Linked DNA regions of Saccharomyces cerevisiae S288C. The protein of the gene in region 2 interacts with the protein of the main gene of each other region in a biochemical or structural test. Each region holds a gene or a part of one and is shown on either strand. Other genes may lie near its edges. The genes, in order: FOB1, NSI1 and NET1.

Region 1 (3,757 bases), 180 kb from region 2:
TAAGGCCCCCAAACGCCATGGACAAATATAGGGTTTTTTGATAACAAAATATGACACGTAGACGTACCGGCAACAGCTGCCAATCTGCCAATTGCACCATTGAAATCCTTTTTATAATTTTCGGTCTCGGCAAGACCTTTTACTGCTGATTCCGGCTTGGCGGCTACCGTCCCTACCCAGCCTGCATATGCATCAATAATTCCTGAACTTACTACACAATGCTCTGTCAAGCCTAATTGACAGGCAGCCTTTTTATCTAACGGGCTGATACATTCACCTGCGGTCAGAAAGTTTTTTTTTTCCCTTAACGATCCACCCAGTCTTTCAAAATCATTCTTCGTAAGCTCTGAAAGCCCAATTGAATTTAAGAATTCTTTGGACCAGCCTATATCGGAACCTTCGACACCCACTGGTAGAAATCCCTGCTTACAAACAGCAGAACAAAATGACCTATTCTCTTTTCCCGTGGCTTTGAAAGTCAAGTAATCCGGAAGGTCAAAAAACTTACAATCCTGAAAAATTCCAGCTTCTAAGTTGTTCTTCAACCACTTAATCTTCGGAATTTCCATTTCAACAGACATTTGCCCTCCCACATATTTTAAACATTTATCACCAGATGAGTTGATTTCTTCAGTCTCCTTCATCGCCCTATGGTCCATCCATAATATGATATTCTGGTCATTATTGGTAAAATCCGGTCCAACTGCAATTTCTTCAAAATTGGTAGCGGATACGACTACTAAGGAACAAGTCGCATCAAAACCAATTCCACGAACTCTTTCAGGGTCAACTCCTGATTCTTCAACAACAGTTCTAACACAATAGCAAACTGCATTCCAGATTTCTCTTGAAGACTGAGTAATAAAATTGGATATCAATTGTTCCCTTTTTATGGGTTTTTCTGCTAGCGACAACATGTTACCAGATTGATCGATAACACATGCCCTTGCAGAGCCTGTTCCGACATCTACACCAACGTAGAATTTTGCTTCTGGATCTTGTGGAGAAATGCGAGAAATCGAGGTTTCCTGTGACGACAATACCGCTGGCTCCCGTGTTTCATTTTGCATATTGTTTTGGCGTTTCCTGCTTTTCATATAGCCTTAATAATGTACTTTGCAGATGTTTGTTCCTTCGTCTCTTTACATCTTTTCATTGTACTCAGCGGTCTGGGTGTGCAGCTTTCCACATTTACTAATACTGGTCTGTAGCATTTAGTCAAACGGGTGTTATAAAGGTTCAATTTCTTCATCATACCTAACATTGTGATCGAGGTTTCCAGGAAGAGCTTATATATATCAAAACAAGAAACCCAGAGTATCTTTACCCCCACATTCAATATGAGGTGTCAGCCATAATTATTTACATGATAATACTGATATTTTTTCTTTTTCGCGATATATTGAAAAGAAAAAAAAATTGCGAGGTGATTCCTCATCGCATGTATTCATTTTAACGACATTGAATTAAGCCTTCAGGGGGGAGAACAATTTAACGATTGTGTGAGTGTGAATTTGTGCTGAGGATAACAATGACGAAACCGCGTTACAATGACGTGTTGTTTGATGATGATGACTCGGTACCATCAGAATCAGTTACGAGGAAATCGCAGAGAAGAAAGGCAACGTCACCTGGGGAATCAAGAGAGTCCTCAAAAGATCGTCTACTGATACTTCCCTCTATGGGGGAATCATATACTGAGTACGTAGACTCTTATTTGAACTTAGAATTATTGGAAAGGGGAGAAAGAGAAACACCAATCTTTCTTGAATCTCTGACAAGACAACTAACGCAGAAAATATATGAACTAATAAAAACAAAATCTTTAACTGCAGATACCTTGCAACAAATAAGTGATAAATACGATGGTGTAGTGGCAGAAAACAAGCTGTTATTTTTGCAAAGACAGTATTATGTTGATGATGAAGGAAATGTTAGAGATGGCCGAAATAATGATAAAATATACTGTGAGCCAAAGCATGTATACGACATGGTGATGGCAACACACTTGATGAATAAGCATCTTAGGGGTAAAACATTACATTCCTTTTTATTTTCTCATTTTGCCAATATTAGTCATGCCATCATCGATTGGGTCCAGCAATTTTGTTCAAAATGTAATAAAAAGGGCAAAATTAAACCATTGAAGGAATATAAACGTCCTGACATGTACGATAAACTACTACCAATGGAAAGGATACATATTGAGGTATTCGAACCCTTCAATGGAGAAGCTATTGAGGGAAAATATTCTTATGTCCTTTTATGCCGAGACTATCGCTCTAGTTTTATGTGGTTATTACCACTTAAGAGTACCAAATTCAAACATCTTATCCCAGTTGTTTCCTCACTTTTTTTAACATTTGCTAGGGTTCCAATTTTCGTAACATCAAGCACTTTAGATAAAGATGATCTTTATGATATTTGTGAAGAAATTGCATCAAAATACGGTCTCCGTATTGGCTTGGGTTTGAAGAGTTCTGCGAGATTTCATACTGGGGGTATACTGTGCATTCAGTATGCTCTAAATAGTTATAAGAAGGAATGTCTAGCCGATTGGGGTAAGTGCCTAAGATATGGCCCTTACAGATTCAACCGAAGGAGAAATAAGAGAACGAAACGTAAACCTGTGCAAGTACTACTTAGTGAAGTTCCAGGTCACAATGCCAAGTTTGAGACTAAGAGAGAAAGGGTTATAGAAAACACATATTCCCGTAATATGTTCAAGATGGCAGGTGGAAAAGGTCTTATATATTTGGAAGATGTCAATACTTTTGCCCTTGCTAATGAAGCGGATAATAGCTGTAACAATAATGGAATTCTTCATAATAACAATATAGGAAATGATAACTTTGAAGAAGAAGTGCAAAAACAATTTGATCTAACTGAAAAAAACTATATCGATGAGTATGATGATTTGGCACATGATTCTTCAGAGGGCGAATTTGAACCTAATACCTTAACTCCCGAAGAAAAGCCTCCTCATAATGTCGATGAGGACCGAATAGAGTCCACCGGCGTGGCAGCCCCAATGCAGGGAACAGAAGAGCCTGAAAAAGGGGATCAAAAAGAAAGTGACGGTGCATCACAAGTAGATCAAAGTGTCGAAATAACTAGACCAGAAACTTCCTACTATCAAACTCTGGAATCGCCGTCAACAAAACGACAGAAATTAGACCAACAGGGTAATGGAGATCAAACAAGAGACTTTGGCACATCAATGGAATTGTAATAATATGTAGGATAGAATGAAAGGAGGAGTCACCATAGGTGAAAAAAAAAAGCACCTATTGCATATAAAGTATTCAAAAAGGTGTTGAAAGCTCTTCCTGTATATGACCCTGTATTTAATGTACGCGGTTAAAAAATTTTTATATTTTTAAATAAGTATCAACTTGGATAATATGATCTTGCCCGCAAGGTGGTTTTATATGAATAATTACTTTTTTTTTTTTTTTTTTTTTTTTTTTTTTTTTTTAATTGAACAATAGATGCAGAGGAATGCTCCAAAATTTATTTCCTTGAACAATATTACAAGAGGCAGATATATACTTTTCCTTATTTCCCTTAGTAAAGAATGATGCATGTATACTATTACAAATTTAAACTTCACCCCCACCATGGATGCAAAACAAATAGAAAGCCATTATCATTAGTTTTTTTTTTTCATTCAATTACGATACTTGCTGAAGAAATCTTGATGAAATTCTTTCCAGTCTTGAATCCATTTAGTCCCTGGAGCCAAAAACGTTGTTCG
Region 2 (3,757 bases):
TTCCAACAATGAATCAATTATTTCAGCTGTTGACCTTCCTTTAAAGTCATGAATCTTTTCTCTCATCTGCTCGTAACATAATCTCAGTTCAAGACCAGTTCGAGGATATCCGGGCTTGTAGGTAGCTATACTGTTCCAGTCGATATTTGAATAGGACGTTTTAGGTAGCTGTTTCAATCGTTCTAGCAGCCACTTCCTTTCAGAAACAGGAATGCTCAACATACTTCTGGCTGCTTCATCTGTTACTAATTTATTCCACTTATAGCGGCACTGTATACGGGATCTAGTTCCGCTCATGCGTTCACTGACGACAGTCCAATTGATCATATCTTTGAAGGTAGGATTATCGCTAATTCTCTTTCCCTTTGGACCCCTAGAATACATTTGATTGTATCTATCATTTTTGTTGGCAGCCTCCAATGCCTTCATCCTTTGATATTGGTGTGCCTCTTCAATCATTTCATTTACTACAGTAGTCAACAATTCTTCTTCTTCTTTCGACCATCTTTTAGAACCTCGCTTTGAACCACACTTCATATAGTTTCTCCAACGGTCCCTACAATCTTCAGGCATTCTGCCTAACAATTTGCCTACTTCGGTCCAATGACCCTCTTTTTCTAAACATAATCTTGCCAATTCTTGATCTTCCTCTGGCGTCCACTTCCCACGCTGTTCGAAAATATGATATTTTCTTCTTATATGTTTATATATTGAGGACCTTGTTCTATAAGGTAAAACTTTGCTGATATTTGCCCAAAACCCATCTCTAATGACTCCGTCTGTAGACCAAATTCTCTCGCACATTTGGCGTCTATCCAAGCCTCTTATTTTCATGTATTCTTCGATGAATTGGTCCAAAGCATTTTCCTCGCTGGGAGTGAACTTCTTACCGATGGATTTTGTGATAGCACCGTCAATTACTGACGCTTTCACAATATCGGATCGCAGTAATGCGGTATCTCCATTGTTTTCTTCTGGTGCCAATATCAAGTCGTCTGATTTCACATCCTTTTCTGGTATCTTTGGAGTGCGCTTTATGTAGCTGCCGTCATTTGGTATCCCCTCTAAATCGGTATAAATTCTAACCAGCGTGCTGCTATTGTTATTAAAGTTGTTTTCTTTATCATCCTCATTAACTTCTAACGATTTACTTGGATGTTTAGCTAGGTATGCCTTTTCAGTATCAACATACTTATCAAAAGCTGTTTCAGCAATGAGATCATCAGGTAAAAATGCTGTTGTCGTTATGCCATCGTCCAGTGTAGTCAGCTGCGGATCTAGGACCATTTTTATTTTGGCTTTTCTTTCTTTAGAGCTTTTTCTTTTACGGTGCTTCTTCCTCTCTGATCTACTATTAGAAGATTTTTTATGACAGCTCCTCTTATCTTTTTCTCTCATTGAGCTGTTGTATGCGGCAGCAACAGCTGCTACAGCAACAGAATTTGGTTCGATATCATCCACTTTACGTAAATCTTTTGAACCCGATGTTTTCAAATACCAATCCATATCAGTGTCTTCATCTTCATGAGACATTTTTGAACCATGCTTTCTCTTCTTCTGTTTCTTCAATTTCTTCTTTGTCTTTTTAATATGATTCTTCAAGTCGACTCCCACATACCTTAGCACTGCTTCTTCTACAGATTCTTTTGGGTCATTATTGTTCTGAAAATTTGTGCTCTTAAGGTTTGACACGCTGTCCATTCTACCTTTATCTTTCTTCTTGACGCAGACAAGAAACGGCTGCTTGCTCTATGCACAAAATTTGTTCAGCGCCAACTGTGTCGTGAACGATGCTATGTTGGAAATTACAGGAGATGAGTTGTAAAGCAACTGACGAGATACTTGAAGTACATTTTCATAGCTGCTGGAAAAAGTCCTTTCCTATCGCATTTGGAAAGCTCTGACCTCGCTCGATCTTCATTGTTTGATCATTTCTTCACCGCTCATGTTTGGAAAAATAATACGTAGATAATGTTCTAAAAAAAAAGCGGAATTTCTTAGAGAATATAACATCGATGATTCATTAGTTTAAAAAGTAAATAATGGTACATAGCTTGAAATCTAATTTTTCTTTATCATGTTTATACAGGCGGAGGTGGGGCATTGGCCATGTATATTTTATTCGATGAGGCCTGGAATTGCCCCAACAGGGTTGTATAATGACTCGCATCGAATGGCTCAAAATCCCTGTTAGAGTTGGAAAGCCTTTGATAAAATCTCTGAACAATAATCACAAATTCTGCGAGACAGTCCAATGACTCTCCCATGATAGATAAGTTTCTACCCGTTTTTAAAAGTGAGTTTCCAGGTTGTGTGACAGATGCCATGGCGCTACTGTTGTAGTATTGTAGTGCGTCATAGCACAACTTCTCGAAATTTGATAAGTATATCGAGGGAAGGTTTATGGAAAGAACCATTAGCTCCTTAATAACCTCAATGGTAGCGAGCAGAGAACTACTGGCCACAAAAGTTTTATCGCCAACAACAACCGATTTCCTATGACCTTGATATGTTTCATTTCCTTCATCTTTTTCCTTGTCCTCGCTTCTGCCATTTTCGCAATCATGAGAACCCCCTACCATGTCTAAAATAGTTGTCCAACTCAATGGGTCTATGTCTATACTTGACACAATGTCGTTAACATCGCTCTGAATAGAGGAGTCCACAATATATGGAATCCATTCTTCAGCATCAATCTTTTTCTTTATGTTGCGGTAATTTTTTGAACTTTGTGCGTTTGCATAATGCTTGATCTGAGATGCTAAAACATTACTTAAATATTTCGTTAAAAATTCACCACTTAATACTTCACATTCTTGAATAAAAATAACGCATATAGCATAAAATTTCAAGAAATAATCATACCGTAGAGATAAGTTCAATTCTCTTCTTACGGCAATGATCTTGCCTGTACGTAACTGAATAATTCTGATTATTTCGTTGATGCCAGTACGTATATCCAATTGCGTAATCATGTTGTGCTGGTTTTCGTTTGGACTTTTAACAGATGCTAGCTCGTTAAGAGAGATATCTAGAAGCAACTTTTGATGCCCATAAAGTCTTCGAAGAGCTTCGAGCGCGTGCGTGAATATGTTTACTAGCATGGACTGAAATTCTGCAGGAGTTTGCTCCTTTATTAATCTTGAAAGTTTAGACCCACTAGTAGAGCCATTGTTAAGATGTTTTTCATCGTGGTTATTGTCAGCGTGTGCATTCTCTGTTGGCAAATAAATTTTTATGATAGATTTAAGCTCAGTGATAGATTTTTCCCTGTATAGGTCAAAGGCACTCGTTAATTCTTCGCATCTATTCAATCTGACTATTAATTCGGTTATCTTTGAAGAAAAATTATCAGTAAATATAGTTTGCTTTTTATCATTAGATCCCGTTTGTATCCTATGTAGTGTTTCCTTTGGTTTGATTGATTTGCAAAAGGATCTTAAATCATCTATTAGTAAAATCGATAATTGTAGGCTGAACTTTCCTCCTATTTCAATCTTCATATTGGTTAAAAACTCTCTCGTTGCTGACAAAGCAGGTATCGTCCTCAAATTGCTTAATTTATAGGGCCAACACCTAGTCCAACTCTGAACATCTTCGTTTATTGAATCATCCCCCTTAATCAGATAATCGATGGATTTTATCAGCTCTAAGCAGTTATCCAACTTGTTCTCCTCATACATTGACTTACACTCATCTGTTTTGTTCAGCACTAACTTCGCCTGTAATAATCCCTGTTCTAGTTTCTCTACATTCT
Region 3 (3,757 bases), on a different chromosome or scaffold from region 2:
CTTCAGTACTTTTCTGTGGGACTTCGTTTTTCTTGGCACCTGCCAATAATTGGGCAGCCCTCTTAGCCGCACTTCTTGGGGTTCGCTGGGGCAAAATATTTCTTGGATCTGGCTTAGAATTGTCTATGTCTTTATTCAAAACCGTTGTGTAAGGCTTTGAATTTTTGGAATTACCGGAAGTTCTCGAATTTTTGCCCTTAAACCATTGCGGTAGATCTGTATCATCACCTTCGATCATTTTGAAAAGATCTGACTTTGGGAAACTAGAGGAATCTGAATCTTGAGGAACAATACGAACCGTAGTATCAACTTCATCATTATCATTGCCATCGTCCTCAATGGTGCCGTTAATGATAGTGCCATCTTCCTTTGAAGCGTTGTTGTTTGAACTAACTTTCCCAGCTAGTGATTTCAACGTCCCATTAGACTTATCAGATGATGCAAGTATTGGCTGATCATTATGTGGAATTGTCGGCAAAATTTCCTTTTCTAAAAGTTTATCATTCGTATCTTCTTTTTCTCTTACCTGATTATCATCTAGGAAATTAGTCATTCTTTTCGGTTCCACAATACCGGAAGGTTCCGCCTGAGATTTCTTTTCCACTATAGTTTCCAGTGAACTCTTTCTTGGTGGTTGATGTTCTTGTTGCTTTCCCCAGGATTCGCCATTTGAAGATTTGGTGATCGAGGTATTGCTTGCCTTGGGAAGTTCTGCTAAATGCACATTGTGTGGCATGGCATCACCGAGAGGACTATTTTTCACCGGAGAGCCATTATTATCTGCGATGGAGCTTTGACTACGTTGCAAGGAAGCCTTTGAATGTGGTTCTGTTTCAGGAGTTTCTTGGTTTTCGCTACTTGAGCTATCGTCGGATTCGTAGTTCTCGCCATTTTCCAAGTAAGGTTTTTTCATTGGAATCTTTGCAGCTTTAGCGGGTAAAATGGAGGCCGGACTGGAAGGTCCCTCTTTTAACTCTTTTTCAATCTCTGAGATTCTTGGCTCGGGGATTTTCAACATTCCTGATGTTATTCTTGGAGTGGTTACGGGTGGTTTCCTATTAATGTCCTGAGCAGTGACAGCAGCTGTGCCACCATTAGCAAATGAAGAGGAAGAAGCTGAAGCAGAGAAAACCAATTCGTTTTTATGTGCGTGTTCAGAAACCACTCTCTGACCGGTAAGAGTAACTCTGTTTGGAGTCATGGTGGACATTATAGGAGTTCCGGACAATAGACGTTGCTGCTTTGTTTTATCTGGATCCACGGTTGCTGATCTGGACACGATATCTTCCTCGACGATGCTTGATTTTATTTTTTTACCTGCGTCAATGCCCGAACTAATTCTTATGGGAGGTGACTGAGGCTGCGTTGGAGGCGGCAAAAAGGATCTTTCACCAATGTCTTCGTCTTCGTCATCTGAGTTGTTGGAGACGATCTTCGAAGAAGGTGGAGGATAAATTTGCCTAGCCAATGGGGTAGAAACCCTCATGGATCCATTAGTGGCACTACGAATGGTTGTTGTTGTCGTGGTTCCTGTAGGTGGCCTCTTCTTGGCAATCCGAAGAACACCTGAAGAGGACGGGATTTGTTGTTGCGGCTGCACCGACTGGGGCGACCCGTTGTTCAACTTGGATCGTTTTACCGACTTATAAAGTGACACTGGTGCGGAATCGTCCAGATCTATCTCATTCTTCAATATAACTCTTACGATATTATTTACATTGAAAACGTCCTTTACCAAAAAATCCGGATCAAGGTCACAACCGCTGTTATCTTGCAAACTCAAAATTTCAATGTCTTCTTGCAAACTCGGGTACATTTTTTCACACTTATCGATGATTTCATCACTCAAGTTCAACAGCGTGTTTGTCGGCTTGGTAAACAAAAGAAACTTCCTAAACCTAGACTGGTTGAAATAGCTTGGCGTGAAACTCACATTGGCAGATCTCAGATTAGCATACTGCAAAGAGGCATCTCCGGCGCTTTGCGCCATATTAGTTCTGTTTGGCAACAATTGAGAAGATTCGGCGATGGTTGGTCCGTAGCCAAACTGTATTGGCATCGTCGCCTGAAGACTCGGAGGCACCAAGACCACTTGTAGCTTGTACATAGAAGGAGGCACGGTGTACAGTAATCGACTTCTCTCTGTTTCAGGCGAACCGAGACTAGGGATTCGATCAGCTCCGGCACTTATTTCATCGTGCTAGCTACTCTTCACTAGTTATTCAAATTGATTATTGACGCTTACCATGAAAAAGAAAAAAAGTTCAAAACATGTGGAACGGGTAACATAATGCACATATCGCTCCCTACGAGAAACAAATCTTATTTTCGAATACGTACACGTACATATCAAATAGGCTTATATCATTCTGACTCTTCACCAATCAGGGACATATCAGTACTACATCTGTTAATAGCAACGTTATGCACTATTTTTTTTCCAATTTTTTTTTCGTTGAGTAAAGTTCAGGTCGTACAGTGGCAAGGAACGACTATTTCTAAAAACTGTATTGCCTTAACCATGTCTTTCCCCTTGAACGCTATCCCTGGCATGTATCTGATAATTGCTTTCCCTCGTCTACAAACAGTAATTCCCCTGCAGCGAAATACTCCTGTTCGAATTACGAAATCGGTGATAGTGAAAGGCGCAGTGAGCGTGCCACGGATCTCCTCTCCGATGCACTAGGGTCCTGTTCCGTGCTCTGGTATCTCGATTAGGAAAGCGGAAGAAAAGAACGGAGGATACCTCTAATTAAGAGGGTCCGTTGTGTTGTGTTAAGCTCGGGTATAGGAAACTTGAAGAGAGGCGAAAAAAACCCAACGATGTGAGGAACGCGTCGCTATTGTTGGTAAGTTTGGCCGAAAAATTGTTTTTCTTCGCACATGGCTGGTTCTGCTGGAGGCGGCTGGGTGTTTATAGTTACCGCAATGCAGGTCGCTTCGTTTACTTTTCTCTGCGTGCTCGAGAACTGATAAATACTGGTTTAGGAAAACCGTCCACTTATGGATTTAACAAGGAGGTGAAAGGTAGGTACCATGGCAATATAGCTAGCAACGCTACGCACTAGCTGTGTGTGCTTGCTCTCTTGTGTTCGTCTTTCGTATATTGCGGGTTCCCGCGGTTAATTCAACAACAAATATGGTATCTAGGCAGGGACCCAGCAACGGAAGGATGTAATTGCTATATAGGGCCGATGAAACAGTTCTCATGTTTCAACTCGGTCGAAGAATTCTCTAAAACATATTCTATACTTCAAAGTTTTTAGCTTCTTGCTTTTCGGTAGTTGCCAAACCAATATCGGCATAAAATTATAATTGCTGCACCCCTGCAACTCCAAACAACTTAAAACAACTTAAAACGAAAACGCTTATGCTGGAGTTTCCAATATCAGTTCTGCTAGGATGCCTAGTAGCCGTCAAGGCACAAACCACGTTTCCAAACTTCGAGAGCGATGTGCTGAACGAGCATAACAAGTTCAGAGCGCTACATGTTGACACAGCGCCGCTCACCTGGTCCGACACTCTGGCCACCTATGCGCAGAACTACGCCGACCAATATGATTGTTCGGGTGTCTTAACGCATTCCGATGGCCCATATGGTGAGAACCTTGCCCTTGGTTACACAGACACGGGAGCGGTGGACGCCTGGTACGGGGAGATAAGCAAGTATAATTATTCAAATCCCGGATTTTCTGAATCCACGGGTCACTTCACACAGGTGGTTTGGAAGTCAACCGCCGAGATTGGATGTGGTTAT

What was found.
Region 1: the proteins of NSI1 (region 2) and FOB1 form a complex in vitro, tested with the Saccharomyces cerevisiae proteins (one study listed by BioGRID).
Region 3: the proteins of NSI1 (region 2) and NET1 form a complex in vitro, tested with the Saccharomyces cerevisiae proteins (one study listed by BioGRID).

What each region holds. Positions count from the first base shown.
Region 1 is NC_001136.10:674,571-678,327, forward strand, and holds FOB1 (replication fork barrier binding protein FOB1), read left to right. Parts: upstream 1-1,531; coding exon 1,532-3,232; downstream 3,233-3,757. Other genes in the region: YDR109C (putative phosphotransferase), read right to left, coding at 1-1,097; alanine transaminase ALT2, read right to left, coding at 3,671-3,757.
Region 2 is NC_001136.10:492,568-496,324, forward strand, and holds the start of NSI1 (Nsi1p), read right to left. Parts: upstream 1,702-3,757; coding exon 1-1,701. Other genes in the region: VPS54 (Vps54p), read right to left, coding at 2,082-3,757. UniProt on the Saccharomyces cerevisiae protein: DNA-binding protein that recognizes sequence-specific replication termini (Ter sites) within rDNA. Binds to rDNA terminator elements and mediates efficient RNA polymerase I transcription termination.
Region 3 is NC_001142.9:293,595-297,351, reverse strand, and holds the start of NET1 (Net1p), read right to left. Parts: upstream 2,108-3,757; coding exon 1-2,107. Other genes in the region: YJL077W-A (uncharacterized protein), read right to left, coding at 2,467-2,553; ICS3 (Ics3p), read left to right, coding at 2,291-2,686; YJL077W-B (uncharacterized protein), read right to left, coding at 3,207-3,305; PRY3 (Pry3p), read left to right, coding at 3,371-3,757. UniProt on the Saccharomyces cerevisiae protein: Has a role in chromosome maintenance and is involved in mitotic exit. Inhibits the action of CDC14 by sequestering it in the nucleolus. Also binds to RNA polymerase I and stimulates rRNA synthesis.